Caenorhabditis elegans: one gene and its partners. The protein of the gene in region 3 interacts with the protein of the main gene of each other region in a pairwise test. Each region holds a gene or a part of one and is shown on either strand. Other genes may lie near its edges.

What was found.
Region 1: the proteins of unc-57 (region 3) and athp-1 interact in a two-hybrid assay, tested with the Caenorhabditis elegans proteins (one large-scale study listed by BioGRID).
Region 2: the proteins of unc-57 (region 3) and dyla-1 interact in a two-hybrid assay, tested with the Caenorhabditis elegans proteins (one large-scale study listed by BioGRID).
Region 4: the proteins of unc-57 (region 3) and F34D10.4 interact in a two-hybrid assay, tested with the Caenorhabditis elegans proteins (one large-scale study listed by BioGRID).

The regions. Positions count from the first base shown.
Region 1 is NC_003281.10:10,878,874-10,886,548, reverse strand, and holds the start of athp-1 (PHD-type domain-containing protein), read right to left. Parts: upstream 4,784-7,675; 5' UTR 4,586-4,783; intron 4,189-4,585; 5' UTR 4,180-4,188; coding exon 4,114-4,179; intron 4,063-4,113; coding exon 3,931-4,062; intron 3,365-3,930; coding exon 2,993-3,364; intron 2,459-2,992; coding exon 2,352-2,458; intron 1,342-2,351; coding exon 1,061-1,341; intron 1-1,060. Other genes in the region: C44B9.3 (C2 domain-containing protein), read left to right, coding at 6,454-6,561, 6,980-7,225, 7,606-7,675.
Region 2 is NC_003284.9:16,837,891-16,844,739, reverse strand, and holds dyla-1 (DYnein Light chain, Axonemal p28 type), read right to left. Parts: upstream 3,703-6,849; 5' UTR 3,636-3,702; coding exon 3,537-3,635; intron 3,141-3,536; coding exon 3,010-3,140; intron 2,933-3,009; coding exon 2,863-2,932; intron 2,725-2,862; coding exon 2,625-2,724; intron 2,518-2,624; coding exon 2,392-2,517; intron 2,271-2,391; coding exon 2,176-2,270; intron 2,060-2,175; coding exon 1,937-2,059; intron 1,894-1,936; coding exon 1,822-1,893; 3' UTR 1,767-1,821; downstream 1-1,766. Other genes in the region: F41G4.8 (uncharacterized protein), read left to right, coding at 239-516, 593-685, 986-1,063, 1,114-1,311.
Region 3 is NC_003279.8:4,672,853-4,682,211, reverse strand, and holds unc-57 (Endophilin-A homolog), read right to left. Parts: upstream 7,078-9,359; 5' UTR 7,074-7,077; coding exon 6,738-7,073; intron 6,465-6,737; coding exon 6,336-6,464; intron 6,288-6,335; coding exon 6,135-6,287; intron 5,754-6,134; coding exon 5,566-5,753; intron 4,543-5,565; coding exon 4,488-4,542; intron 3,645-4,487; coding exon 3,360-3,644; 3' UTR 2,805-3,359; downstream 1-2,804. Other genes in the region: T04D1.2 (F-box domain-containing protein), read right to left, coding at 177-486, 1,277-1,546, 2,320-2,399, 2,449-2,541. UniProt on the Caenorhabditis elegans protein: Involved in synaptic vesicle (SV) recycling in neurons probably by regulating clathrin-mediated endocytosis. By controlling SV endocytosis, regulates the rate of excitatory postsynaptic currents (EPSCs) at neuromuscular junctions and thus locomotion.
Region 4 is NC_003281.10:3,733,270-3,741,221, forward strand, and holds F34D10.4 (C2H2-type domain-containing protein), read left to right. Parts: upstream 1-3,332; 5' UTR 3,333-3,354; coding exon 3,355-3,380; intron 3,381-3,425; coding exon 3,426-3,548; intron 3,549-3,663; coding exon 3,664-4,914; intron 4,915-4,961; coding exon 4,962-5,083; intron 5,084-5,363; coding exon 5,364-5,734; intron 5,735-5,917; coding exon 5,918-6,103; 3' UTR 6,104-6,496; downstream 6,497-7,952. Other genes in the region: evl-18 (Cell division control protein 45 homolog), read right to left, coding at 1-301, 781-874, 1,602-1,661, 1,711-1,770; F34D10.3 (Serpentine Receptor, class E (Epsilon)), read left to right, coding at 1,024-1,104, 1,165-1,354, 1,405-1,577.

The DNA of each region.
Region 1 (7,675 bases), on a different chromosome or scaffold from region 3:
AATTTACAATTATCGGTGAATTTTTTCTTTTTCGGAATTTTTTATTCAAATTTACAACTAAATTGAAAATTTTTAAAATTTCAAAAATAACGTTTCCAGAATTTTACAGAAAATTTTTTAATTTTTAATTTAAAAAAAAATCTAAAAATTACTTTCTTTCAGCATTTTTCAAAAAAAAAAATTTTTAGCAATAAAAAATTTTAATTTTAAAAATTTTATTTAATCGATTTTTTAATTACAAAATTGGCAATTTTTTTCGTTGAAAATTCAAAAATTTCGGTTTTTTTAAAGCGTTTTTAGCATTTTTCAGGAACAGTTTGTTTCTGAACAATATATATTTTTTCAGAAAAAAAAACTGGAAATTCCGAAAAAATTTTCGTAGATATTTCAGATTTTTCTGTTTTTTCACGCAGAAATCCAAAAATCTCAGAGTTTTTAGCATTTTTCAGAAACAAATTTGGAAATTTCTGATTTTCTGGCATTTTTCTTTAAAAAATTGAAACTTTTAAAGATTTTTCTGCTTTTTTAATGTGAAAATATAAAAAATGTTCTGAAAAAAATTGAAAATCTCAGAGTTTTTTGCATTTTTCAGGAACAAATTTTGAAATTTCTGTTTTTGAAGAAATCCAAAACATTAGAAAAAATTGATTTTTTCTGTAACTATTTAGAAAAATCTAAATATTTCGGAATTTTTCATATTTTTTTAAATTAAAATTTTCCGAGTTTTTTAGCATTTTTTTGAAAAAATTGAAAATTTTAAAGATTTTTCTGTTTTTTATGTAAAAATCTAAATATTTCGGAATTTCGGAGATTTTTTTTTGGAAAAAATTGAAAACCTCAAAGTTTTTTGCATTTTTCAGAAACAAATTTGAAAATTTCTGATTTTTGGCATTTTTCCTGGGAAAAATCTAAAAGTTTCCCAGTTTTTAGCATTTTTCTATTTTTTTAAAAATTAAAAAAAAAACGATTTTTGAAGAAATCCAAAACATTAGAAAATTTTTTTAATATTTCTAGAAATTTCAAGTTTTTTAAAAAAGATTTTCAGTAAGCAAAACCTCACCAAAAACCTCCGATTTCATTCGAAATTGTTCAGTTTTAATACAAAATTCCTCAAAAATCTCGTAGCTCGGCTCAACATCAGCATATTTATCATAAAGCCGTCGACGATCTTCTCGTGAAATCTCATCACCAATTAAAACACTATCAATGACAGTTTCTGGATGTCTTGGACACATCCAATAGAAATATGCACGAACATGAATAAGTGGAGGTGTTACACATTTTTGATGCCATATCAGGTCACAAAAGTCACATTTTAGCATTCGTGTCCAGTCGTCTTTTCTGCAAAAAATAATTGGAGTTTTAAATTATATGGTAGGCAGGCGCGGTTTCAGGGCCTGATGCCTGCCTACCTTTGCTTATTTTCTGCATTTTTAAGGGAATTTACAAATTTCTAAGTTTTCTCATTCTATCAACTAGTTGATTTGAAGTTTTTCCGAAAGTTTTTTGAAATTTTTAAGAAAATTTTTCGGAACATTTTTGAAATTTTTCCTCAACTACAAAATTTATTTCAGAAAATTTACAGAAAATTTTTTTTTTAAATTAAAATTTACTTTTTTCAGAATTTTTCAGAAAAAATATTGAATTTTTCTTAACAATTGAAAATCACATAATATTCGAAAACTATATGTTATTTTTCTTCAATAGGTAATTTCTGTCTTTTTCAGGTGATTTTTTGATTTTCAAAAAAAAATTAAGATTTTAAAATCTTGACTTTTTGAATTAGCTAAAACTTTTTTTCCAGAAAAAAAACACATTTTTGATGCCAAATTAGATCACAAAAGTCACATTTTAGCATTCGTGTCCAGTCGTCTTTTCTGCAAAAAAAATAATAATTGGAGTTTCAAGAAGGGATCAAGGGTGCCATTTTTCGATTTTTCGATGTTTTTCAGTGAAAATCGAAACATCGAAAAATTGAAAAAAATGTTCAGAAAATTAACCATAAAATTCGATTTTTTATTTAATTTTGCTTATATTTGTAAGAAAAAAATCCAAATTTCTTCTAAAAATAAGAATAATGTCCAAAATGTGAAGCTAATTTTTGGAAAATCGGAAAATCGAAAAACGAAATTTTTTGATTTTTGATTTTTCTTTTTGATTTTTCTATCGTGTTTTTCAGAAAAAAATCTAAAAGTTCAGATTTTGAGATCATTTTAAGAATCGAAAATGATTTTTTTTGAAGAAAAATTTCGGATATTTTTCGAGAGAAAATCGCTCAATTTCAATACTTTCTGGTAGGAAACTCCTCTTTTTTTTGGCACTTTAGGTCCATTTTTGCTACGAAAACGTACAAATTGCACTCAGCACACACTTCTCCCATTATAGTTGGCCTCTTGTCTTCCATTGCATCACCAGAGAAACAATCACGATCTGCTTGGAATTCCGGTGGTATTGTATACTGAAAAATGTTGGAAAAATTATTTATAAATGTTTGGAATAATATCTAGGTTTCTCGAGAAAATTATTGTAAAATTGGAAATTTTTGAAGGACACAGAAATAAAGAATTTTCACAAAAACTCGAAACAAGAATTAAAAAAGCGTTATTTTTAATATTTTTATCGGAAAAATGGTCTCAAGAACGATAATTTTCAGGAAAAAAGGTCGAAAATACTCAAAAATATTTGTACATTTTTCTGCAAATAAATTGTGTTTTTTTCTGTTTCTATCCTATCCTACAGTGTTAAAAATCCCGATTTTTCTAATTTTTTTTTCACTTTTTTCCCGAAAATCGGATCGAACGCCGAAAATTTCAACGTTTTTCGGGAGAAAAAGTGTTTTAAATATTTTCTGCTAATAAAATTTCGCATTTTTTAAAACTATTTTTATCGAAAATTAAAAAAAAAAATTAAATTTTAAAAAATCCAGAATTTTCGATTTTCATTAATTTTTCAATTGAAGCATTAATTCATTTTTTTGAAAAAACTCCCTTACATCCATGGGATTAGCCATTCCAAGTGCTTTCAGTAGATTTTTATCCCGAAAACAGTCTTGAATTTCTGCAAATTCACTTTTTGGCCCATAAGCAACATCTTTTTTCATTTTCTCGGCCTGTTCCTCATCTCTAAGTCGATTACAATGATATTCAATAGCTTCCCAATTTCGGTGATTTTCATTTTCAACTCGGAGCACTGGATTTACAGACGGCGAGCACTTTTCCGGTGGAAAGAGCCGAACGTTTTCCGGAAGATTTCTACATCGATTACAGTAAAAATTGTCGTCTGGAAGATCGGATGATTCGTATCCAATACAAGCAAGATGAAAGGATGCTGGACACTGTTCACAGCATAGAATGTTACCGCCGGACTGCAAAAAAACATGGAAAATTATTTGGAAATCTGGGCATTTTTTTATTGAAAATTTATGAATTCAGTGGAGAGATTTTTCTAAAATTTGGGATTTTTTTTTCCAATTTTGCAAAAATAATATAATGAGCCTAAGCCTACGCCTAAGCCCAAGCCTGAACCTAGGCCTAAGCCTAAGCCTAGGCCTATGCTTTAGCTCAAGCCTAAGCCCAAGCCTACGCATAAGCCTTAGCCTAAGCTTAAGCCTAAAGGCATAAGCCTAGGCCTAAGCTTTAGCTCAAGCCCAAGCCTAAGCCCAAGCCTGAACCTAGGCCTATAATAAATTTTTAAAAGGGAATTTTTATTCTGAAAATGCTAAAATCATCAAAAATTCGAATTTTGCAGCTCTTTTGGACTAAAAACTTTTTTAAAAAATCAAATAATTTCAGCATTATCTGGTTTTTTTACTTTAAACTCCAGTTCTGAATCGAAATTTTCAAAGATTTGATGATTTTTTGCAATTTTTCTGCCTTTTTCAGGGAAAAATTAGTTTTTTCCAATATTTTTCCAAATAATCAATGTATTTACAGAGCAAATTCCGCATATTTGAGCTTCAGGCCATTTCCATTCTTCCTCCACTTGCTTTTTCTTCTTTCCAGACCCTCTCGCCGACAATTCTTCGGAAATGTGGTGTGGAAAACCGCAAACTCGGCGAATTTCCTACAAAAATTTGGAATTTGAGGCGAAAAAGTGAAAATTTGCCAATTTTACCGGCAGAAGACCGTCGTTTGAGTCGTATTTCAGCTTTCTTCGGCCTTCTTTCTCTTTTTTCTGCATTGATATTTTCTGAAAACTAAGAAAATCAATGAGAAATGATTTTTTAAATGCATTTTAAATTAAAATATCAAAGAAAAAATGAAAAATCGTCATAGAAATCGCAGAAATTCGAATGAATTTTCATGAGAAGCATGATGTCTAGCTGTCTGTGCCCTCCTCGATTCACATACTATTTCTTCGTAATTCGCAATGGAGCGCAGTTGCGTCAAGCCGAAAAAAATTAGGTTTTTTCCTATAATTTCGGAAATTACGGATAAAATCTTGATTTCTTAGGGGAAATTGAAGAAAATTCATAAAAATTTATAATTTCACGCATTTCTTTGAATTTAATTTCAGATTTCAGGTAAAATTTCAGATTTTCAGAGAAATTTCCAGCGGCTAACTTGAAAAGAATCACTATTCGCACCTTTACAGCCATCTCCACAGTCACAATCGGCATTGTAAACCATCGGCAGTCCTATTCGAACCCTAAAACTCATCTCCACTTCTTTTGTCGGCTATTTCCGGTTTATGGCCTTGTTTTTGGCTTGTTTGGAAAGAAAGAAATAATTTTTGTTATGAATATACTTTTTTCAACAGAAAATTGGAACAAAAGCGAAGGAAAACGAGGAAATTGAACAAATAAAAGATTTAAGAAAATTAAACAATAAATAAACTACAGTAATCATAAGCAGCATGGACAGAGTTTCGGCGAGGGTCTCGCCACGATGTTATAAACGGCACATGCGCCTTGAACAAAGTGTACTGTAGTTTTAATTTTAGAAAACTTTTTTAAAAAATTTTTTCCCAGTTCTTCCCAGTTTTTTGTAGTTTTTTATCTTGGTTTCTGTCAGATTTTCCATTAAAAGTATTTTCAATTTTTTTAAAATCATATTATATTTGATATATCACAAAAAATGTAGTGAGATGATGTTGTGTGGTACCTCTGGGTTGAAAAAATGAATTCAAGCGGAAAATAAACAAAAATAAGCACATTTTTAGTACCCAGAACCGCTATTTACTGCTCCTCAATTGAAAATAGAATCAAAATCGCAAAAAATAACCTAAAATCTTAAATTTTGTTTACTTGTCAGTGAAGTAGCTGTTTTTGCATACTTTTTGTGTTTTTTTGGTACATTTACGGTCGATATGTGTGCACCACACACCTGCCAACTTTTGTGCATCTACCAAATTATAATAGGTATACCTTCCATCAACTACTGCAACTCAGACAAATGGACAAAATTTCAGATTTCGAGCACATTTTGGGTCTATAATCCTCTATAATCCAATTATTTATTACGTTTTTCGTCAAAAATTCGAATTTTGTATAAAAAAATCTTATCTTTTGCCCAGATAAAGCTCCAAAACAAGGCAATAAACATCTTAATCTTCAGCCCATCACAAATCAAATCCTTTGTTCTTTCAATAGACATCTACACGTTGTAAAAGGTGCTAATCCCGTCCTTCGACAAGATAACCATCTCTCGAGACGCTCTGTAATTCCAGCTCCGCCTATAATTAGGTGACACCCCCTTCCTCCTTCTACCTGACCATGCATCCAATTAGTCAGTCATTGTGTTATTCTTATTCCAGTCTCTCAAAGTATGTCGATGTATTATTTTATCCGATAAAATCGACATTCTTTTTTTTATTTCGATATTTCCTAGAATTCTCAAATTTTCACTGTTTTCTGCAGAAATTAGCTTTTTTTTTCTCACTGAAATTCACACTTTTTTTTGGATTTTTCCAAATTTCGAAAAATAATTATTGAAAAATCACCGAAAATGTTTGGTTCTGAATTGAAATTTTTTTAAAAATTCGAAAAAACCTATATTTTTTTGGGGAAAATCTTAATTTTTTAGCTTTTCTCTTCAAAAAATTGGCAATTTTCAATTTTCTGAAAGCTTCAGAATTTTCCAATTTTCCTAAAATTCCTTTCTGGTCGTATTAAAAAAACGATTTCCTCGAGTTGCAGAAAAAATTTTTTTCCGAAGTAAAAATTGAAATTTTCTCTAAAACACCGAAAAATTGGAAAAATTTTGAATTTTTGAATATTTTTCTGCAGAAAAAGTTGCATTTTCTCGATTTTCTCTCCGAAAAATTGAAAAAATGGCAGTTTTTGATTTATTTGCAACTTTTTTAAAATAATTTTTAATTTTTTTCCGTTTTTTTTCCTGATTTTCAACAAAAAATCCTTCTTTCAGACACACACTCTACACTAAAATGTCGTCGCCCATCTTCTATGGAATTCTACTATTATTGGTGTGCTCCGTGAGCCCGGTCATCTCTGAAATGTGGCTCCACGTGAATGTTCTCTCTGTGGAACGGAAACCATGTCCAATTGATGAGACCTCATGGGGTACAGAGACTAGTGGATGTGCAACTATGAGCTATATGACTGTGAGTTTTGGAAATTTATAAGATTCCTTGAAAAATAGTCCAAAAGTTTTGGAAAAAAACATAATTGGTTAATTTTCGCGCTAATTTCAGAGTTTTTACAACCAATTTTGCCGAAAAAGTCAATTTTCCTTGAACTTCGCGTCAAAAATATGTTTTAAAACACCATTTTTCCCCGAAAAATCTATCGCAAAATATACATCTTTGCCATAAAATTACTCGATTTTTGGTTTTTTTCTTTGAAAATTCAAAATTTTACTTCTTCACTGCGACCCAAAAAAAGCCCAATACAATGGTAAAAAAGTTTCGAAAACAAATTCCAAAATTTCAAATTTTAGCAGAATTTTTGGTAGTTTCGGGCCATTAAAGGAGCGCGGTTTAGTAGATCACTTTGAAAAAAAATTAATTCAGTATTTTCCAGCTCGACGAACGAATCCTTCCCCACCACGAACGTCGTTCATCAAGTTTCGAGTATATAAATGGAATCGCTCGACCTACAGTAACCCATTGGCCAAAAGGACGATTAAATGATTGGATGGTATCTATTCAATTTGTTTCAGTGGATCCTGTATATGGATTGGCTAGAACTTGTGATCGATCTGGATATATTCGGGTTTTCCAGAATTCTACTGGGGAAACGCCAGAGTTTTTGGAAAGAACACTGCAGGTTAGAAAATTGATCTAAATTTCAGATTTTTCAGGCAAAAAATTCGGAAAAATTCGGCGGATTTTGTTGTGAATTTTAATTAAAAACCTAGTTTTCGAATCGAAAAAAAAGCTAGAATAAAAAAATTCTTATAAAAAATTCGAAGCTAGCGAAAAAATCAGATTTTAGCTGAAAAAATGAAATATTTCAAAATATTCCAAAAAAATAATGGCACGGTTTTTCCGCCTTTTTTTTGCAAAATTCACAAAAATTCGAATAGAAAAACAAGATTTTGATATTTAATTGAATATTTTTATTTTATTTCGAACCTTCTTGCTAAAAACCCCATTAAAAATTGAATTTTAAGTCTAATTTTGTTCCAAAATCCCCAAAATTTCCAGATCCAAGGTCAATGCTTCATGTCAACCGTCAAAGTTCAAGCATCCAATACAGTATGCCCATGGTGTGTAG
Region 2 (6,849 bases), on a different chromosome or scaffold from region 3:
AATTTAGTCAGTTTTGGCCCTCTGAAATTTTTTGATGAAATAACATAAAGTTATTAAAATTGTACCCGTCAGTTAGAAACCGTTTGCAAATGTTCGACCATGTGTTTTTGCCCAAAAAACTTGCGCCATTTTGTTAGTGTCAAGTAGGTATATTTCAGTTGAATTTTTTCAAATAGATCAAGTAAAGGTTCAAGTTTCATTTGCAACTAAAAAAAAACTTGCACATTTTATTTTCTAGTGATCGATGAATATTGGCTCCAAAGACTTATTGAAAATGTTGGAATTCCTCACTACCTTACACAGAAAGCTTACCAACTCACTGCAAATGCAAAGGAACATGTCGACGAAGACGAGATTCTAACTCTAGACGCTTCGGTCCCAGACTATGCAAGACAGGTTTTCACTACACAGGTTCTGAGCACGGATGGGCTAAGTCAAGAAACTCTGCAAAACTCGACGGAAAAGTTCATGACAGTTGTGTACTTTGCATTTCGACCTTTTGGTTGTGATCAGGACGTGAGTTTTTTTGTTAGACACAAAAGAATCAAAAAGACGGAGCAAAAAAAAGCAATACATTAATCCTAACTTTCAGAACATCTGGCCAAGTGTTTACAATTTGACACGAGACAACCTCGACTGCCTGGCTTTCACATTGTTGCAAAGAATTTATGACAAATCAGAGTTTGTAAGTCACGGGAACAGGCATATGACACCTTCATGTGTTCTGTTGCGATGTGTTTTGAACTGGGTACAAGTTTCGGGTACTTCTAGGATTTCCACAGTTGAGTTGCTATGGAATGATAAAGCACACATCGTATCTGCTCTCGACAATCAGTCCTTTGTGCTCATTTTAGTCAGAAAAGTTAAACATTTTAGCCAAACACAAATATAATAGTATTTTTCATTTAATATTATATTTTAAACTTGATATTTTCAAATACCGAAAACCTTTTTTTTTCGTTGAAAGAAAACACTAATTTTACAGACAAGGAAGTACTTCGCACGAGCTATTCATTTTGGTCTTACCAGTACGGCTCCAATGAATCACAGAATTCATGAAATGGTATGCTCTGCATTTGAAAATCTCTACACAATCAAAACTCATATTTTCAGATGGTCTACCAATATCTCCTACCAACTCTTGACCGAGTATGGTTCAATAGCATGAAAATCCAATTTAAAAACAGTTTTTGGAATGAACAAGAGTATTCAAGAAAATCGACCTACGAAGATAACAGTTTTCTTTGTGGATCTTTCCCATTTTCAGATGAAGTCCAGGAGAAAATCAACTACTATTTTAACTCACGATAAAACAAAAAGCTTTTTGAAATTGTTATTCTCAATTTTTATTCATATATTTTTGAAAATAAATCACTTCCTGTAGTATTCTGGTGTATTTTGAATAATTGTGGTTTTCCTCAATTTAACAAATTACAAATAACAAAATTAAATACTGAAATACTTTGATGCTGAACTTCACTTCTCTGATTGTTAACATGATCTGAAATTAAAAAAAAAACGCTAACGGGCTTCCATGCAGACGCCAAAACGCCTGCCGCGCCTGTCTCGCGCCGCGAGCCACGCTTTTTGTTTAGTGCGGCGCAAAACCCGGAAAGGGTCGGGCGCGGTCAAAGAGGCGTGAGGCGGGCAGGTTGAATACAGGCAACAGGCCCTGCGCAAAAAAAAAGTTTGTATTGTTTGAAAATGTTTCTAATGTAAGGATTTTCTCCAAGATTACAATTTTGTGATACATAGAAATATTGAGTATGTTTTATTAGAATGTATAGTGTTGAAACAAAAATATAATACATTTGAATATGTTTAATGTGCGACTGTTTCTCCGACTTTGACATGTGACATATCATCCATCTGAAGAATCGACTGAAGCTGGTTCTGAAAACTTTGACTTTTGAAATAATTATTTTTCAAGCCTAACTTTGAGAATTCTATTTGACTCTACAAGGCGCTCGTTGGTGTCCTTCATTCGTTGCTCCACAATTTCCAATTCCTCCTCGCTTACAATTTTATCCGTTGCCAATTTTTTCTCCAATTGGGCAATCTGCAACATCCGACATACATTGCTTCTTCCTCCGCTAATTTCCATTTTCTCCCCCCCCCCCCTCCGTTTTTCCCCGATGGGTTTCTATTCATCTGTAGTAATAGTTTTCTTTTCACCTTTAGATGAAGCTCCTTGTTCTTGTCCTTTTGCACTTTCCATTCAGTCGTCGCCCGTGTTTGTTCGTTTTCAATGAACAGCGCTTTTCTGACACCTGAAAATTGAATCAATTCGGTGTGGTTATTGTATTTTTTTAGGCGCTAAGAAGTAGTCAGAATCCACACAAAGTTTTTTTTTTAATATTCTGAAATTGAAAACTATTAATTGTAACTTACCATATGCAATCGCCGACTCTAGTACATTCTGGTAGGCTGCAAAAGTCATTCGAATTTCATCACGAACGCGAACCAATAAAAGACCTCTTTCCACACAGGAGACACTGACTTGACGGATTAGCTCATCTGGAAGCAAAGAAGATTCACACACCTGTCTTTTTGTCAAAGGGCATCATTATGCGCTTGAAAGAAGACAAATGGGTCTTGGATGAATTGAAAAAAGGAACACTGACCGAAAAACTGGCCGTAAAGATCGCGTCGAATTGGGCATATTCCGAATGGTTTTGCTCCCCGGTCTTTTAACTCGCTTTCCAGTTTTTCCTCGAGATTTATCTGAAATTTTTTTGAACGTACTTCTAACATTCGTGTTTATATTTAAAAAAGAGGTTTAAGCATTTGGTTTTAACTATTAACAAGTTACCTTCTAGTTTCACAAATATCTAAATATTTTTCAAATTCACACCAAATTACCATGTCATGTCGCGTAGCAGGATGAAGCGACGCTTGCTGTTTCCATAGTTTTCCGTTTTGTTCGTAAACTCTACAAAATGTGTCTTTCATGATCATAATTCTGTTTTTGTTTTCTGGCTTAAGCTGCCAATTTATCAAATTACCCACCTCGGCGGAAGTATACAATCAAGAATAAGCTGTAGCTGGTGTTCACTTTCAATGTGATCGTCTTCGCCGCTTTCAATGATACTTTCAAACGTGACATTGGTTTCTCCTTCTATTTTTGAAGTTGTTTCCTCCTGAAAATCAGTTTGTCAATTTTTAATTTTTCTTGATGTGACATGTTTGAAGTGAAAATCATAAGCATGTGAATAAATCTGAAATTAACCTCAACCGCATATGATTTTAGCTGTGAGAAAGTAGTGTAGCAAAATTTAAAAGAAAAACAATTAAAAAAAAACAGTCTTTGTGTATTGATTTCGCACAGTAGTTGAACAATTAGATTCAAAACCAAAATGTGTGAAAAAAGCAACAAATTTGGGCTTTTTTTCCAGAACTTTGTTTTGGACCATTTTGGGTCTAAAAACACAAAGTCTCAGATTTTGGTACTCCACTTTTAACTTTATTAGAAATTAATTAAAATTTGGACTTCTATACATTTTTGGACAACATTACTAAAGATAAAATAGACTTACTGCAAGATTAACTTGTAAAAAAATATTAGAAGGAGTCTCAGTTGAGCCGAGAATTGTTGAAGTCAGCGAACTTTCAAATTTTGGTTTTTCCAATGCCATTTTCCGTCAGAGTAATAAAAACGTTTGAAGTTAAAACGCTTTATATTTTATAGAGTTTACCAAATTTTGAAATAAATGCTTTTGTGAAGTCGAACTATTTTCGTATGAAATTCAACGACGTTTGAGCTCTGCCTTTCCTTCGTCTTTCAACAGGATGTTCGCATCAGTTGCATTCATGATTTATTCCTAAAACGCGTTGAACCATGTGGATTGAAAATTGGACTGGTGTAGTTGATCTTATCAGTGAGTTAATTAGCTAAGCATACTACCAAGAAAAAAGTTGTCTTCCAGGTTTTTTTTTACAAATATCCTTACACTGAACAAGTTGAGAGAAAAATTCAAAAATTATTGTCTAAAAAGTGCGCAGCTCGTTCAACATTTTTTGTTGAGTTTCAGATTTCTTGTTTCTATGGCATGTTGGGATGAAATTCCGAGTCGAAAAAACATTTCCAATGATTTAACAAAAAGTTTAACCTTAAATTTTCCAAAAAGTTTAACCTTAAAATTTTGAGGCAACTTAACGGCTCATGAAAGTAGTGAAAAATTCAAACTCAATATATTCTGGAACTGAATTTATTATAAATTTATTCAAAAATTTTAATTTTGTATCAAAAAGTGACCTTGAATACTTTTCCTGGAATTTGGGTTGTATCTTTTTTTTTTTTTTTTTTTTTTTTGTACGTTGTACTTTTTGGTTGTACGTTATGATTTGGTCTTACTGTAATCAGTTGGTTTTCCATAGTCTCAAACTTGTTTGCTTGGTTATAATAACAACTGTAATACACTCATTACAAGTTTAGGTATGGACACTCCAACTCCGGACCCATCGATGCGTGAATCAAATACACCGTCGCCATCTCCGAGCCGCCGACTGCTCCAAACGTGAGTATAATTGTTTATTAGAGCATGTTAGAATGCTAAACAAGAATTCTGGAATAAAGCAATTGGGGGCAAATGAATCGAAAGTGAATGCAGTCTGCGACATGCAAAAGTCATTCCAATGCAACGTTTGCAGCCTGGGAACCTTGAAAATGTTGCGAGAGTGAGAAATGCGCTCAATCATTATCATCTTTTTTCTGTCTTCATATGTCAAACCACTGACACCCGTGGACTTTTTGTTTCGCTAAACAACTCTTTCTTGCTATGATTGTAATGAACAGCTAGCTTGTCTTTTTGACCCGACTCTACACTGCACTCAGACTCCAATCCCACTTCGTAAATTGACTGTTGCCCTCTTCCTATAAATCGCTGCTGGATTCTTGTGGTCACACATGACTGCATTCGAATTCGGAGCTGAGCAATTTGCCTTCAACCAGATCACTGGCGGAAAGGCGGAACTAGCTTCTTTGCCAGTTATTCATTCATTGGAACTTTGAAATTTTTGTTTATTAGAACTAACTAGAGAGCAAATAAATAACAGAACCTCCTTAAAATGAAGGATCTACTGACTGTCACGGGTTTTACGAAAGAACGAAGATGAGTTTTTATTTAAGTTTAAAAGTTTGGTCGATCGAAATTACTACAGAAATTTGAGAAATCCATGTAAAGTACAAACAGTTCTCAAAATGATAATCATAGTATTACTTGCTACTTTTTACCTAGACGGGGTGTAGTACTCATAGTATTTAGCAATTATGGCAATTTTAAATTACCAAAATTTTTGTTTTGCGAGATTTATTTTGTTATTGACCTGTTTTGTTAGCATTGAGACAATCGAGAAAAATTACGATAAATTAAAAAAAATGAAAATGTATCTTTTTTTCTAGGTTTATCTATTTGCCAAATTTTGCAATTATCGAATTCCAAACAACGCAAGCTTTCTATGAGTTTATAGAGCTTTTCTATATTGTCCTGAACATATCAGGAATTTATTGCGTTTTCAGAATTGTTTAATCTTTCCTGAATATTCAAACACTTCTCAAAAGTTTATCAAATTTTCAAAAGTTTCTAGAACTGTTTGAACAGTTGGCAAACTTACCAAACATTTCCTCTAACTTTCGAATTTTACAGAAAATGTTTGGAAAAATCATTCGATTCAAATTCGGTCCCTTTTTTTAAACAAAATGTTGTTGCTTCTTCCGAAACTGATTAAGTTGTTGAAATGTAAATTTTGCCAAAATTTCTAAAGTTTAAAATCTGAAATTTTGAAGGAATGAATAATCAATTGAAAAGTTGCTAACAGTATCAGCAATACATTGAAAAAAAAAACAGAAAAGTTCGTTATGTAATTATCATAAAAGTGGAATGTTGTGACTTGGGCTCCGGAGAGTCGGCGCATCCCAACTTTGCGGATGTATAGTTAATTAATTGGTCAGAATCACCCACGATCCCACAATTAACATCCGCCGCCGAATACTCACAATATCTTCCGTATTCTTCCAAGAACATTCGCTCTAATAATCATTTAATAAACAATTATTATTTGAATTTGCCGCCAAGCAATGCAGGCGCGCTCCACGGACAACAACGGAGTGTCGTAGCGCGCTCTCTTTAGCCATTGCTCACATTAATTATTGGCCTAAATTTGATGATGCAATTATCGTCACTCTCCTCCGATTCTCCCATCGTGTGATGCCGTACTCCTTCTAATTAATTATTATTCGACTCCTGGCTGCCCTGCAGCACATTCTCTACGTTTTTCCTGATCAATAAACAGGTTTTTATTCGTACTAATTGTTCTGTTATATTCACACCGCTCATCCCTCCTCTCGTTCCGTCCGTCGTCTTTTTTGTCACTCCGAGGTTCTGGCTATCTCTCGGATTGGAGTGTCAACATGGTGCACCGAACCGAGTCGGATTGGATCCGATGAACGAACCAAAAAGCCAGCTCGTGACACGGCGGGACCTGAGGAAGCGGCAAGCCAGTCGGAGGAAGAGGTCAGGAGCCTAAGCGTGCAATTACCGCTTGGAAGACGCGCCAGACGCGTGGAGTCGATTCAGGAAACCCTAAGCGTGGCTCAAAACGCTTGGAAGACATGCCAGCCGTGTATAGGAAATCCCAAGCGTGGCTCAAAACGCTTGGAAGACATGCCAGCCGTGTATAGGAAATCCCATGCGTGGCTCAAAACGCTTGGAAGACATGCCAGACGTGTAAAATCTACCACTGAACCCAACTTCATCTACGATGTCATCGGCTGCTCGGAAGATCCAGGAAATCGTGCCCAACAGCTCAATTTATGAAGAAATCCCCGCAAGCTCACTCAACACTCAACTG
Region 3 (9,359 bases):
AAAAGAAGTTTTAGACTTCAAAAAAAAAAGCATAAAATTCAAAAGCTTATGTTTTGACTAGCTCGTCACAAAAAAATTTTCAAACATTTTTAAAAAAATCCACTTTTGTTCTAGTTTAAACATAACAATTCTAGTTTAAACAGAAGTTTCCAAATGACATAGGATAGAACTGTTACCTTTTGAAAATTGAAATGTTTCTTCTGATCACATCGCGCATAAAATTTATGCAAATCAAACATTTTCTGCAGATTTTCCAAATCTTTTGTTGAAAACTTGGAAGGCTCGTGAAACTCTACATAATGACATTTACGAAACAATGGATGTTTAAAAACTTTTCTGTAATCTCCAAAAATCTTCTCGCGATCCGTCATAAGGTCGAGATGATCAATCGAAAATGTGTTATATAATACATTCAAATAGTGTTCGAGCTCCTTTTTGTTTTCATACGACATATATGATATTCCGTTAAGCTTCATGTTGGGATAACTGAAATGGGTTTGTTATATCCAGGGCTTCCATGGTATGCAAACTTGGTTTCAGGCCCAACGCCTGCCTGAGGCATGCTCGCCCCACACGGGCCATCCGTCTCTTATCTGAATTTTAACATGAATTTACAAACTTCTAAGTTTATCATTTATATTATTTTGATGTTTTAGCATAAGGCGCGACTGACGGGAGAGGCAGGCGAAGATCGCCTTAACAATAAGATCAGGCAGGCACGCGTTTTGACGCCTACATGGAAGCCCTGGTTATAACATATACCGTATTTTCTCTATTAGTAAGGCATGCAAAACTAACTTTCTGACACCTAATTTGATGCAAAACTAATGGAGGGTGCAAAACTAATTTTCGAACAGGTTTTTTCTCATGTTTTCCATCAAGTTATAGCATAATATCATCAATTTCAATAACTTATAAACCAAAGTGGGCGAATTTTACGACTAATACGCAAAAATTGTCCGAGTTCTACTCATATTTTGCCAATTTTTACTTGTTAAACCATAGTCTGTAAGAATTTTCCTGATTTGTAGAACGAGTTTATAATTCAAATTTTGAATACCTAAAAATAGGGAACAAATGAAGGGGTGCAAAACTAATAGAGGCGCCATACTAATAGAGGATATACGGTATGTAATGTATTCTCAAGAGTAAATTCCATATTTGGAGAAGTGTTAAGTCTTTGGGAACCATCTTTGAGTCCTCCGTTCCCGGTGGAAACGAGGTTCAACAACTTGAAACTGAATCAGTTTCAGACATAATTCAAGATGAAACGTACTCTTTTATTACGCTTCGGATCCAATATGTCACCGGAGGAGTTGTCAAGAATCTATAGGATACAGTAGTTTGTGACCACATCATATCATAAAATTCTTGATAATCACTTATGTTCTCGATAACAACGAGTTGCCGAACTGAATAAGTCTTAAGATGTTCTTGGCCACCATAAGGCGTGAATTCATGGTTGTAGACCAATAATTTATAAACTTTCCGATTCACTTGTTGTATTTTCTTCAAAGTTCTTCTTGAAATTTGAGATAATTGTAATCTGAAACATCAACAAATATAAATGTATTTCCAAAGTAAAAACTTGAGAAAAAAGGTTAACTAGGAATTAAAAGAACTGAACTGATCGAACTGATCGTATTCTTAATTGTTTAATTAATTGTGAAAAATATTGCTTTTTGCTCTATTATCCAGTTGCGCTACGTCACCGCGTCTCGAAACGACCAAAAATTAGCAGCTACCGTACCAGCAATAATTTGGAGATTTTACCAGTATCGCGTGGCATTTTACGGGGGCTCAACCATATTGTTTGGGCAAACCTTTAAGAAAAAGAGCGAAGCAAATTGCGAAACTCTTGTTGGGTACAGTGGCTACAAATTTCGTTCGTGCCGAGACCGGTCAAGAATCACGAATTTCCGTAACTGGGCAGTATTTGTCTCAGACTGGCTTTTGTAACACTGTAGATTGGGATTTTGTTCAAATACTCTAGAGCGTCGAGAAAGAATTGAAAATACAACTATTAAAACTGCGATTTTCTAAAAAAAAATTCAGCCAAAATTAAAATTAAAACGTTTTTAATGTAGTTGATCTCACTCTCGCTCGATTTGTCCGTAATTTTTATGTGATTTTATGTTATAACTAACATTGAAGGGTGTACGATATGTAATGTTGGAATAACTCACGTGGTGTCAGGCTGTCCCATGCTGGTTCGCATGGTTAAAAAAATGCTGACGTCACATTTTTTGGGCAAAAAAATCCCGCCTTTTTTGTAGATCAAACCATAATGGGACAGTCTGACACCACGGGATAACTTACACTGAAAAAATACTTAATTGATGAATAACAATTCGAAATGCTAGGTATGGTAGTTGGAGTAGATTGAAAGAGTTACATTTCTGAAACTTATAGTTTTTGATCTAACAAATAAAAATTAATTTAATTTACCTTCTTCTGATTGGAACAACTTCTACCTTTTTTAATTCGATTTGAATTCCATAGTGAAGAAAATGGACGAAATGATAGTTGCATTCGTTTCATGTTCAAAAAAAAATCGATGAGATATATGGTGCACAGGTATGAGAGCAGATGGTGCAAGTATATGACGTCACTAATAACATAACTGGGTGTCTGTTTACAGTACTCCTCGTGGACAATATAATATTCCGGATATTTCGAAATTTCGTTTTCATTTCAGTTTTTTATTGATTTTCTTGTTCATCCACTTCTTTTTTTAAACAATTTTAAAATTGATAAGACAAGAAATTTGACTTTTTTCCATCTCCGAGTTCAAAAAAAAAATAGTTTAAAATCAAATTCATATACTCGAAAATAAGTAATTACGAAAATAAGTAATTTTGCAATGAATTTTTTGATGTTGAAAATAAGTTACTAAATAAAGCTAAAAAAACTAATAACATGCTGCTATTTTAAGGGAGATTTGATAAATGCACATTTTTGGTAGTGTAGAGAGTACATAGAATACATGGTAATGTGGGTCAGGGTATTGCTATTGGAAAACGCATCGGGTGTGGCAGACTGGGGGAAAGTAGTGGATGTATATAAAGCAAGTAGTGTTTTAATAAATACAAAGATTTCGGCACAATGGATCAGGAGAATTAACTATTTTAGCCTCATAGAGACCATAGCCCATTCTCTTCTAAATGAGTACTTTTCAGGGGTTCCTAGAGAAAAAGTGAGATTTGGAAAGGGAAATAAAATATTTTTGTGAAATAAAATTCAAGAGACAAAGATGAGGAGCATGGCTTTGGAGTTGGGGAGAAAACGAGAAATTGGCAATAAAACAGCAAAAAATGGAAAGAATTGACTGGGTTTTGGAGGGAGAAATACATTTTTTTTTATTTAAGAGGCACTAGAACCTGTACATAGGTAACAGGGAATAATCCAGTTTTTCCATTCACACGTCCTTCGTACCAATTCTCATCAATTTGTGATACCAACTCAATCAGTGTTCCTTCTTTGAAATCCAGTTCTCCTTCACTTTGAGCATCAAAATCGAATAGAGCTCTGCATTGTGGCTTCTGCTGCTGGGAGAGTGGAGGTGGAAGTCCACCTGGTGGAGGTCCTTGATATGATGGTGGTGCTTGTGTTATTCCTCCTCCATTTTGTGGTGGCATCTTAAACTGGACATAATATTAGAAATTGGATTGAAAATTGAATTACTAGGTTTTTATTCAAAAACAAAATATTCTAATCAAGGGTATCGCTTTTTCGATTTTTTAAAATAAAAATTGAAAAACGAATAGTTTCGATTTAGAAAATTGATTTAAAAAATTCAATCTTCAAATTTTTTATGCTGATGGGAAAATACACAATTCTCTTATAAAAGTAACTTATTTTCAACAAACAAAAAATTCGACTTTAGAAAATTGGTTTTTTTTAATTTGTAGTTTTTTTTCGAGAAAATTTACCCGTTTTAAGAAGAAAATTGACTTTTTTTTTTCATCAACCAAATTTTTAAAAGTTTGAAATTTTTTGTCAATTTTCCCAATATTTTTCCGATTTTTAGGATTTCCGGAAAACCGAAAAATCTGGAATTTTCGTTTTTAAATTTTTAGTTTTGTCGGTTCGAATAGAAATTGATTTTGCGAAAAATTTCTTTAAAAGTTTAGACACTTCTGTTTTTTTAAAGAAAAATTATATGTTTTTTATGAGAAAAAACTAAAAAATTGAAATATTTGGTTAATTTTATCCAGAAAATTGATCAATATTTCGGCTTTCTGAAAAATCAAGAATTTTCAGTTTTCTCGTCTCGAAAAATATCTGAAAAGTTTGATTTTTCAATAAATGTTTCAAAAACATTTTTTAAACATTTTCCGGTCTTTTTACAAGTGTTTTTTTAAAATTATACCATTTTCCAAAAAATTTCAGTAATTGAAATCCGAAAAACTGAATCTCCAAAATTCGTGTTTTTTTTGTTGAAAAGTCGCACTTTTTTCAATTTTTTCTGAAACAAAAAAACGTACGGCTGCGGCTGCCGTAGAATTGTGACTCATATCCGATGGAGCAGGCGATCTGAAACTGAAGAGATGTTTTGGAAGAGGCTTTTAGCATGCAAAAAATAAAAAATCAATCACAATATGAATCAGGGAGTACTGTAGCGGGGGGTACTGTAACGAAATTTAATTCTTATTTTTTTAAAATTAAATTTAGAATGTTTTTTTGGTTGTGTCGTAGAATAATTTTCAATTTTTCGGTTTTTTCAAAGATAATCAAAAATCAAAATTTACGTTGTTTCTTTTAATAATTTTTTTTGAAATTTCTCAACTTTCAAAAAAACTTAAACTAGTCTAGCTTAAAAAACACCGAAAACATTTCAATTTTTCAATATTTTCGTGTCAATCAGTCATTAAACGATCTTTTTACATTCATATTCCTTCCAAAAAAGTATTCCTCCGGCCGTAAAAAGACATAATGCGATGTAATCAATCATAGACTCTGCATGTCTATGTCTGTGCTTCATATGTTTTCCTCCTTTTTATTACTTGTGAATGATGCTTCAGTGCTTTTTCCGTTTCTTAAGAGCACAGGGGGTTTTCTCTTTTTATGATGCGTGGGACCTTTTTAAATCGAAAACAAAAATGGAAAACGCCTAGTTCCGGCTTTATATATTTTTTCGTATCTTTTGAAAAAACTAATTTTCAGGTAGATTTATGAAATAATCTCTGTACTCAAAATTCAAAATTTCTTAAAAATAACTAATTCTATTCTAACTTCTCGTACAATTTTCATGGCGTTTCAAAGTTTTGAGAAGAAAACAAAAATCTAAATTTAGCTTTAAAAAACTTCAATTTTGCCAATTTTTCCGTGCCACAGCGGCCCGAAATTTCAATTAATCCTCCAATATTCAACATTTTTTTTGGTAGTTTATTCAGCTTTTTGGGGCAGCTCCATTTCAATAAAATGTTGGCGAAATTGGAGATTTCAGCTGAATCTCAAAAGTGCATCTCAAGAAATTAGCTGTTTTTTAAAAACTAGGTCTTTTTGAGCGTTCAAAATCTCACAACAAACATGCATTTTCTCACTCTTCATGCTTATACCAACCTGGATCTTGGAGTTCTGCTCTCATTTGCAAGAACTGATAATGGAACATGCTCTTCACGAGGCCTGGCAGCTGCATCTTTGATTCGATGGCCAAGTTGTTGCTGTAGATTTTCGAGACATTGGGCTGTTTGTCGGTGGAAATCGAGTTGGGCTTCAATGAGGGCTCGTAGTTGAGATATTTGCTCGACCTGAAAAGAATTTTTTTGTGATTATATCTAAAAGGGGAAGTGGAAAAAAATTTCAGCAGATTAAAAAAAAATTAAACTTTGACAGCTTATATTGAAAGGAATTGTATAAAATACTGATTAAAAACATAGTATAGAACAGGATCAAAATTCGAACAATCCTCGTGGCCTATGATTTCGCTAGTTAAATTTTGAAGGTTTTTCGTTGATTTTTCTGACATAAAAATTCGAAATCTTAACGGATTTTTCCCGTTTTTCTTTTGTTATATTCGTAAGTTTGAGAATAATCCTTCTTAAAAATAAAACTAAGGGTAACCGATGTCAAATAGCAAGTCTAATAGGGGAAAATAGTAAAAACTTCCAAAAAAAAATCGTAAAACTCACATCATTACTAAGCACATTGAACATTGACATTTCAGCGAGTCGCTTTGATTCTTCCAGCTTCTCCTCCGCCTGAATCATCTCATCATCACGTCGTTGCTGACGCTTTTTGCAGTCGTAGTCAAGTCGACGTCCTTTCAGTTTTGTGCGGTGGTGCTGAATAATGAATTAATAATAAACCCTTTTTTACGCAAAAAAGCTTACATTCACATCTTTCAGCTCATTATTCTGCAAATGTGTTAATGGATCGAGAAAGTTTTGTTTAACATTATCCTCCATTTGATACTTGATATCAGCCATTTGTCGATACGTTTCTGCAGCATCGTTTAGGCTCTGGAATTGAAAAAAATTGTAATTTAAAATTATGATTAAGAAGATTTTGAAGCCGTGCAAAAAATTTTAATCTAAAAAATACCGAAGTAGTGGTTTTCTAATATCAACCTAATGTTTCAATTAAATTATTAATATAAACAAAATAAATAGTAATTTTATTTTTGCTGTATTTTGGTCACATTTTCAGAAATTGCTCACAGAACAAATATTGACAAATGTTGCTAAAAAATGGGTTTTTTTTCAGAAATTAAAATTCCAAAAGGGATGGCAAACCTTTCCCAAATCGCTGTTATCACCCAATTGTTGTCCATATTTCTGCATGACGTCAGCCAACATTCCTTCTGTTTGTGGATACGGTGACGTTTTTGTAGTTCCACGAACTTTTGACAGGGCAACTTGTGTGGCCATTTTTGCTCGAGTAGCTGGATTTGGTTGAAGATATTCATTTGTTCCGGCGACGAGATCCGTAATTAAATTATACGTTGTATCCACATTTTTCTCCATTTCATTGAACACATCGTCAAGTTTTGTTGGCTCTGCGGCGCCCATCGTCTCCGAAAGGTATTGATTCGCCTTGTTGAATTGCTTACGTAACCCCGACAACGACATTTTTCTGAAAATTTTGAGTTTTAGATTCGGAATAACATGTTAATTAATTGATAATTAAAACAACTGAAAATAAATATTCAAAAACCAGACTTATTTTCCTTTAGATTTAAAACACTTGGGAATCACGGTGAGCAAGATTTGAAAGTTTCGATAAAATGAGCTTCTTGAATTCTTGGAGTTTCGCCTGTGGATTTTTTATTTTAAATGAAAGAAAATACCACTTAAAGATCAGATAAAACTGTTGAAAAATTATAAATTCTAATGATTTTGTAATAATAAATTAAAAAGTGTAAAAATAATTTCCACCCTTGTTTCAGCAGTTGGAATACAGTTTTTTTTAATCAAAATATTTATCTTTATTGTATATTTTGGTCGGTTTTCTAGAAAAATTTCGATTATAAGCAAAATTTGGCACTTTTTTCGGATTTTTCATCAAATTTTGAAATTTAAAAACTATTTTTCATAGGTATAATCTGGTATTTTCTATCAATTAAAACAAAAAAATCCACAGACCCTCAGGCTGTATGTAAAACTTTGCATTAAACCTTAAAACTGAGAGAACTAAAGGTTGAACATTATAAATTCATGAAAGAAACTGTGCAGGAAATCTAAAATAAAACTGACATCAGGTAGATCGCTACAAACTTTTTCAAAAGTACAACTCGAATTTTCAGTTCGAAGATAAAATCCTCAAAAGTGCAGTTTTCTCGGAAAAAGCATTCCAAAAAGAAATGCTAATGTGAATGATCTTATGATCTAGGATTTATTCTGATGTACACTTTTATGGTTATAAAGCATGAGAATGAGAACTGAAGGAAGTTTTAAAAACTCTAAATTTCAAAGAAAACAAGTTCCCAGTAGAAAGGTAGAGCTTCAGAAAAGTTGCAAGAAGCAATTAAAGAAAAAGCCTGCTTCGGAGCAAGAGAGGTAGTTAACCATTAACTAGACCTACTTTCGTATTCCGGAAAAAGGCGGGGACACACACACACAACACAACGCCGGACTCTAGTAAAAGGAGAAGCACGGGAGAGAAAGATGGGGGAGGAGAAGCCGTTGTGCACGGAGAGCTCCACCCCCTCATCTTCTTCTTCGTCTTCTTCTCTTCAACACCGCCAACCCCACAGATGTATCGATTCAGTTATTTTCGTTTCGTTCCTCTGTGTCCTCCATCCTCTCTGCCTTTCATTTTTTTTCTCCGACCTCGGGCGCCCTCTTTCCGCGCGAAAAGAGAGAGAAAGATGAGGAAAAACTCACACAGACACACGAAACACACTACTCTCACACATAGTTCCAACCGAAGAGAGCACCCCGAAAAAATAGAAGACGTAGATTACGTAAAGCAAAGAAAACTGAGACGAAGAAGACGCCGTTAGTGGTGGTGGTGTTGTGGGGGAGGAGAAGGTTATTCTTTCTTTTATCTATGTGGCAGATAGAGGGAAAAAAGACGAATCGGTGTATATTTGCTTGTGCATGAAAGACTCTAGCCTACCCACTACTTAATGTTTGTGTGTGTGGATAGGCATAATGATTGGGCACACTCAAGGGTTGCTACTTGGAAAAATCTGGAAAACAATTGGAAAAGTTAAATTTTATCCCGACAGAGAGCATTTGTTGGATAATGATTAACGAAATTTCACTTTCCTAGCATAAAAAGAGTTTTAAAGCTAAATATAATTTAAATGCAGCTTTTTAAAGACGGGGTTGCTTAAAATGCTAGAAAATGGAGCATAATGGTCGAATTTTAAAAAAGTGTTTAAAAATTTATAAAATTATTCTAAATTTCAAGAAAAAAAACCAATGATTTTTCAATTTTGCAAAAAAATTTATGACATTTTCTCGTAAAGAAAACTTGATAACCCGAAAGAAAATCTTCAAAATTGGTCTAAAAATCGATAATTTTACATAAATTTATAATTTTTTATGGAAAACTGAAAACTTGAGAAATGTTTGTTCATTTTTTTTACATTATTGAATTTATTCGGTCCATTTTTATAATTTTAGGCAAAATTCTAACCCTTATGTCTACCAAGATTATGCTTTTCATGCTGTTTTTTATTTGTTCATGAAAAACTTGTTTACAACTGGGTAAAATGATTTTAAAAAATTAAAATTTGAAGATATAATCGATATACAAGTTTTGAAAATGACCGCTTCCAAAGAAGGAATATGGATTTTAATGATTTTCCAGCTCTGCAAGATTTCTGGGACGAGCTTTTTTCTTCAAAAATCAGGGAACTACTAGCAAGAGATTGACAACTAAAAAAATAAGAAAAAGTGAAACTGATA
Region 4 (7,952 bases), on a different chromosome or scaffold from region 3:
TTAATCGCTTTCCGTCGAATCTTTTCCATTCGTTGTTCATATGAGATGTACTCTTGATCTTCATCTTCATCTGAATCTTCTTCATCGTCAGAATCCTCTCGAATCACAGATTCAAGATCAGGAATTTGCAATTCGCTCATTTCACTTGGATTTGCCAATAAATGAATTTGACCATTTTCATAGACATTCTCAATGTGAAATGGTCGATGAGAATCAATGACAAATGCTATTGAAGCCGGCGGGATTTGTAGTCGTGTCAGGGATCGTGTTGCTCCGCAATTGATTAGGATATAATGACATTCTGTAATAAAAATGTAATAAAAAATGTTTTTTTATCAATTTATTAAAGGAAACAGCGGAAATCTTGCTCCGAAATTCCGAAAATTGTGATAAAACTTCTTAGAAATTGATATGGCGGTATAGAGTTCCGCCGGATCTCGACAGACAAATATTTGCTAATTGCGAAAAAGTGTGCGCCTTTAAAGAGTACTGTAGGTTCAAACTTTCGTTGATGAGCAATTTTATCGATTTTTCATAGTTTTCTCGTTAAAAATATGTGTTTATTTTAAAAAAAACACTATATATTAAAAAATAAAATCACATAAATCTAACACATCGATATGAATTGCGCAAAAACGGGAGCTCAAAATTACAGTACTATCTTTCGTATCGAGACCGGATACTGTATTTTTACTCCAATTTTGCCACTTTTCCGTGTGGTAACGGTGACGGAATTATTTTTTAATTAAAAATTGGGGATATTTCGACTCTCTCACATACTTTGCTCTTGTGAATCTGCAAAAATCTTCTCCACCGAGCTCCATCCTTCCACTGCAAGAATCGAGAATGGGATGTCATCACAGCGTAGCAGATGCTGAAATTTGAATAATTGTTCTATCTAATGCTCTCACAGCAACCGCGCTCTCTCGTACGCTTCTCTTTCTCTGCACCCTCCCCCTCTTATTGTCTCCATCGACTATTTTTCTCAATATTATGTGAATAAAATTGAGTTCATTTATGAATATGCGACTTTTATCGGGTCAAAAAGCGATCTGTGTCTTCCTTGACCTTCTTGCCACCACGATTTGTTTGGCTCTGTTTTTGGTGAGCAGAAATGAAAGATAAATTGAAATATTTTCAATAAACCGGAGACAATAATTCCAGGATAATTCAAGTGGCGACAAACAGTACATTTTCCTTTGTCTTATAGTTTTTGCCACAGACGCTGCGTGCTTCGGAGTGCTCTTTTACAACATTTACTCCGAATTACGCACAAATGGACAGCAAAACCTCGGAATCCGCGCTTTCTGGAACTTTTTGTATCCATTCAATAATGTTTACACAGGACAGTTCGGTTAGTACGAAAATAAATATATTTTTTGAATAAAAAAAATCGATTTTCAGTATGCATCACTTGCAAAGTGGTTTTCGAGGTTCTCATCGCAATTCGGCTGACATTTGCACTTTCAATTCCATATATTGTCTATTTCATCCCATTTTGGATCTTTTGTGGAATAATTTTTGTCGATCTCACGCGGAGACTTTACTCCGTTCAAAAGAAAATAAATAATCATTGATTTATAAATAAATTGCATTATTACCGTCAAAATCATCGTCGTGCATAATGCATCCGTGTCGACTGAAACGATTAGAACCACACTCTGAAGCAGAAATAACGTGAAAATGGAGTAAAAATGACTTTAAACTCACTTTATCGCCTTTCTTGATTTTATTGTAGAATTCCTGCCGAAAGTTGTCTTCGATGATCATCTGAAATTTATAATATTGATTTAAAATTATTTTTTATTAATTTCAAAAAGATAATAAGCAAAAAATCTCGAGAAAATCACCAGAAAAGTGTGAAAAAAGATGCGTTCGTTTCAAATTAATGGCTTCGCGCGTTGAGAGTGCGGCAGGGCGCAATTGCATTTCTCGATTTCTCGCAAAAACTGAATTGAAAACCGAAAAATCTACAGAAATAAATCTAAAAGTGGGCAATTCAATTGAAAATAATAATGTGCTGTTGCTGAATGACAGAATGGTGGTATGTTACGTCATCTGGAGTGTTTGGAGAAGACGTCATCGCGCACGCGGTGAACGGGGAGGAGGATTGAGTAGATTTGGTCAGAAATGTAAATATTATACAATATTTACAAATTTTTGTATTTCAATTTCAAACTCATAGAAAATAATATGAATAAATACACATCAGGATTTTATGAACACAGACACGCGTAGGTTACATTCAAGGCGAGGAGGTTTTTCTTTCGTAAGTTAAATATCTACGTTTATTGAGTTTTTTCAGTTACTGTATTTAACTTTTTGTTTTTTTCTCTCAAATACCCTCCGGGGGAAGGAGTCCTCCTTATTTTCTTTGATTATTCACAAAATTCAGCTAATTCAGTTGAAAAAGCGAAATTAGTTTAAAGGAGCACGCATTTTCTGGAGTTGTGGGTCTCGCAACGAAAATGTTTTGTTTTGTTTTAGGCGAAATTCAAATATTTAATTTCTGTCGTTTTCAATAATTTAAACAATTTTTGGTCGGAAAATTCCGGTTTCAAATGCATTTAATTGAATTCCTGGCATGTTTCTTTGTTCCCTGCAGCCGCTCGTATCTAGACCACGTGTTACTGGGAAAAGCCATGTGACGCACCGGCGGCGCGTCACTTGGCTTCACACCGCCCATCCACTCCCGTAAAAAGCGGGTATAAAAACCGAGTAGAAGAGAGAGAAAGCTCAGTTTATTTTGGAAGGACGAACGAACTCTTCCTTCCGCTCATACCACGTATCTATTCGTTTTTCTTCCTTTTTGCCACGATTTATTGGCAAATCGGGGACGCTCGTTGATTTTTCTCGCACATTTTTTCTATATTCATAAAATCAAAAGGGTGCTGTAACACTTTCAAATTGCAAATGTCGAGGCAACACTATTTGTTTTGAGTGTATTCCTACAATATTGTACACAATGAGAATATTTTACACAAAACACGGACGCCACCATTGAATATTCATACATGCGCTCTACTCTGGCCATTTTTGTAATCTACTATAACATTTTTAATTTTTAAAGGAAGCTACAAATTCGTCGATTTTTACCTTATTAAAAAGTCTAGGATATAAGAGAAAAACAACTTAATTTTATGAAACCTGCCATATAAATTCGAATTAATAAAATGTTTAACGTGACCTTAACCTCGCTCCCCAGCTCGTGGCACATATTTATGGATATGCCACGTGTACAATAGGGTCCTCTCGAATATTTTCAGTTGCACAATTCTCCGTCTTAATTTTCTTTTTTCCTTATATGCTCTCAACACAATTCTAATTTTCAGCTCAATCAATTGACGGCGGCATATGGAACCTTATATTAAGGCATTAATGTGAGTAATGCGAATATTTCATCAACAAAAATAGCTTTTTTGCAGAACCGATAGTTATGAACAGAATAAAAACTTCTTCAGATGTCGGTTCATGAAAAATCGGAGGGGCGATGAGTGTAACTTCGTCGGCACATTTTCCGACACTCTGACCCATTTTTCGATACACACGTAAGTTTTGGCGCCGAAAAATGTTTGCAATTTTTGAGATATTGGTTTTCAAAGACTCTTACTTCCTTGAAAACAAAAAAAATTAATTAAGGCTTAACATTAGTATTTATTTTAGGAAAGTGTACTTGTTCGAATGCGAGGGATGCACAAAACAAGTGGTCGACTTCATGGACCTTGTGGAACACAGATCGCCTTCCACCGGCGCAATATGTAGAGGAACAGTCGAGAATATGCGGCAACTTCGACTAGAGCGCATGAAGACGATTGATGCTCACCGCTGCCGAAACGTTTTCATTGTAGGTGCGACGCGAAGCGAGTTTGAGGATTATCTGAGATATAAGAACACTCACGGAAAGCAACAGTCGTTCGGCACACCGTTGTACAATGATAATGAAGAGGAACAAACTCGACATCAGCCGCAACAGCAGAGATCTTCAACACCACTTGCACCGACAACTCCAACTCCGCCACCACCAACACAAGCTCCTACAAATCACCGAGAACTGCTGTTAGACTTTCCACTTCCAGTAGATTTCAGTCGGCCACCGCCAGTTATTCCGCCGGAATACTTCTTCAATGCTCCGTCTGTATCCCAACAACATCATCAAAGGTCCCAGTATCAACATTATGCTCCACAACCACAAGGAAATCGTACTCCTGGCTATGTTGCACGTCCCATCACTCCTCACGGCAACCCGAAGCCACAGAACTACCAAATTGGAGGAGGATGGAATCCTTATGCAAATCCACCATCAGCAAAGGATGCACCCGCTACTGTCAGAGATAATAGGTCTCCGTCGAGACCTCGAGGCGATTTTCGTAGAGACCGCTCCCAGTCCAGAGGTGCTGAAACTCATTGTCAACAAAGCTATCAACCACCAGCGGATCCACTTCAAGATCGTTCAAGAAATGGCCGATCGCCACCAATGGGAACTCATTCGCATTACGGACAAAATGCAAAACCTGCTCAAAATGGAAATACTTCCCACTACGAGCTTCGCTCCCGGTCCAGAGGTCGTGCAACTGTACCAATGAATGCTAATTTCCGTGCAGGGCATCAAACAGGATCTTCATCTCGCCTGGAGTCTCGATCCAGAGCTACAGCGTCAGTCGGTGCTCGCGCTCCATCAAGGGCTCCAGCCCCGTCTTCAACCTCCAGAGAAACTAGGTCGACGCGTCGTTCTCCGTCAAAGGGTCCAAGCGCACCGGCATACACTCTTCCTTTCGGTGGTTCAACTCCCAATCACGAGCCGATGGATTTGGAGTTGGAAGATCCAGTTCCACCACCACGCCCGGATCGACCTCGTGCATCGACATCATTGAATACGTCGGTCTCTCAAATTAAACGCAATGAAGTGCAAACCGGGTAGGTGATTTTCGTGTCGGGATCCAAAAAACCTGCATTTTTTTCAGAGTCTATAATATCCGTCCCCAACGAGTCCAGGATACAGTCCAAAAGGCTAGAACTGCTGTTGGCTATGCGGGCACTCGTAATAGGAGTCCTCTGCGAGAAGCCGATGCTGAAGAGATTGCAGGTAAGATTTTGAAAATAGAGAACCTCGAAATATGCTAAATATTGAATCGAATTTTTAGTTTTTCTTATTAGTTTCTTATGGGGTTATTCAAGTAATGTAGCAAAATGTATTTCAATACATTTGTGACGTCACAAATGTATTTGAATACATGTTTTTATATACTTGAATACAGTTGTGACGTAATTGTTCTACACTTTTTAATTTTCCGATATTACTTGGATAGCCCCATTACATTTTAAAATCTTTTGCAACATTTCTTTAATAAATCGATAATTTTCAGCGACGGAAGCGCTAAAAAACCGATTCGCAGTGAAAAGCAGAGGAACCGCAAAAGCCAAAGCAAATTCAAACCGCGGAGCTGCACTTCTTGAGTCAATCGAGCCAACCAATCGAAAAATCGAAACAGCGGAGGAGCGGGAAAAGAAGCAGAACGATTTATATTTGGAAAAAATGAGAAAGATTAGAGAAAAGCAACGTCTGGAACAAGAAAAGATAGACGATGTGGTTGTCGATTCAGGGAATCTTCCTACGATTGCTCCAAATGCTGCCGGAACTCCACCACCGCAGTCGGTCGCCGCCATGCTGGAGCCGAAGGAAGAGTCTGAAGAAGACGAACCGTCGACCTCCGCAAGTGTTCCTTTTCAAAGAAGGGTACGGGTCGTTTTTATAGTTTCGTGATGTTCAGATTTCGGCTAGGGAGCAAAATTTTTAGATTTTTTTGAAAAAGGTAGTATTTGATATAGATCGGTCTGCTGAAAACTTTGAGCTCTAACTATCTGAAGAACTTATTGTAAACCCTTTTTTAAAATCATTCCCAAACAATTATTTTTCCAGATGAACTCTCCTCAAACTCATGCGACAAGCTACGCGAGGCGCAGTGATGGAAAGCGTCACCCATCGAAATCGCGAAGCTCCAGGGATGACCGAGCCAATAGGCGTGACCGAGATCGGGATTCTGACGGACGCTGTGGAGATGACCGCCGACGGGACCACCGCAGCCATCCGTATGAGCGACATTAATCGAGGTTCTCATGTACCATCATTATTGACTCGATTTTTTAAAAGAAAGGAACAACATTTCATTTTTCCTTCAAAGTATTTATTTTTTTCTAAATTTTATCCCCCTTTCAGGAGAAAATAGATCTCCAACCCCCTCCCCCGTATTTATAACATAATAGTATTTTCCCCATAATGTGCGATTTTTAACGGATCTCTCTTTCTGTCCACATTAATTTTTTTCTAAATTTTATTCCCCTTTCAAGTGAAAATAGATCTCCGACCCCCTCCCACTTATTTATAATATAGTAATAGTATTTTCCCCATAATGTGCCATTTCTGTCCACATTAATTTTTTTGTGTGCCTTTTTCTTGTCATCCGCTTTTTTTTGTTTTTATAAAAGTAATTACCAGTTTAACAAGCTTTTCCTCCGACACTTTCAGATGTACGTGGTAAGAGTCGATCTATGCTGTCTATAGGCTGTTTTGGCTTAAAAACCATTCCAAAGATGTGAGTGCGGATGAATCTGCGAAAAATTTAATTTCATCTGAAAAATCAGAAATTTGCGACGCCACCTAGTGGCCGCGAACAATAATCGGTAGGTCGCGTTGCAGACAAGGAGGTAGGCGTGGGTCGCCTTGTAAGCCAGGAGGTAGGCGTAGGTCGCCTTGTAGGCAAGGAGGAAGACGTAGGTCACCTTGAAAACTGCAAAAAGTAGGCCGCCTTGTAGGTAAGGAGGTAGGTGTAGGCCGCCTTGTAGGCAGAGAGATAGGCGTAGGTCGCCTTGTAGGCAAGGAGTTAGGCGTAGGTCACCTTGTAGGCAAGGAGGTAGGAGTAGGTCGAGTTGTAGGCAAGGAGGTAGGCGTAGGTCGCCTTGTAGGCAAGGAGGAAGGCGTAGGTCACCTTGTAGGCAGAGAGGTAGGCGCACGGCCCGGCAAGTGGTACATCCATGCAAATGCGCTCTACTGATAATTTGAGTGTAGACCAGGTTTGGGCGCGTGATAACGAAAAAAGCTTTGGTCCAAAAAAATTTAGAATTTAATTTCGGACATTTTTTATATGCATCACAAAAAAACTGGACCAACCGTTTTTGAGATACACGCGCCCAAACGTCCAGGTATACGGTAGACAAATTGCGTACAGGTACCACTGCTCGGGCCGTGAGGCGTAGGTAGCCTTGTAGGCAAGGAGGTAGGCGTAGGTCACCTTGTAGGCCAGGAGGTAGGCGTAGGTCGCCTTGTAGGCAAGGAGGTAGGAGTAGGTCGACTTGTAGGTAAGGAGGTAGGCGTTGGTCGCCTTGTATTCAAGGAGGCAAGCGGAAAGGCTAAGATTGAGCTTAAACATATGCCTAGGCATTTCCAGGCGTCAGTGCCTACAATTTGAGATCTATCAATACGGCGGAATTGATTTCCAAGAGGACATTTTGTGATTGGCCTTCCCTCTTAAAAAGCTTCTGCATCTGTAAATAAGCTTCTCCTCCATCCACCATAAAGTGCAAATCGGGAAGTGTCAACAATTAGCAAAGGAAGACAGTTACCCAACGGAAGGACCCAAACGAAAATAACGATGCATTGAAGTGAGAAGAAGTAATAAAGGATGATCGGCTGGGGTCGTCAGGTTCTTAATAACAGACACAAAAGAAACACACACACAACCGCATACTTACTGTAGAAAAGACGAAGAGGAGGCGGTGACGATTGAAAAAAGAGAGAGAGAGAGACCTTGGATTCACACAAGAATCAGTTCATTTGTAAAGTTTCGATCAAGTTTATTTAAAGCTTCATCTTACTGCCTGGAAAATTGTTCATCAACGTGAATTTTTTAAAACTTTTCTGAGCATTCTCATTTTGTTCCAGGATTTTTGGGCTTGTA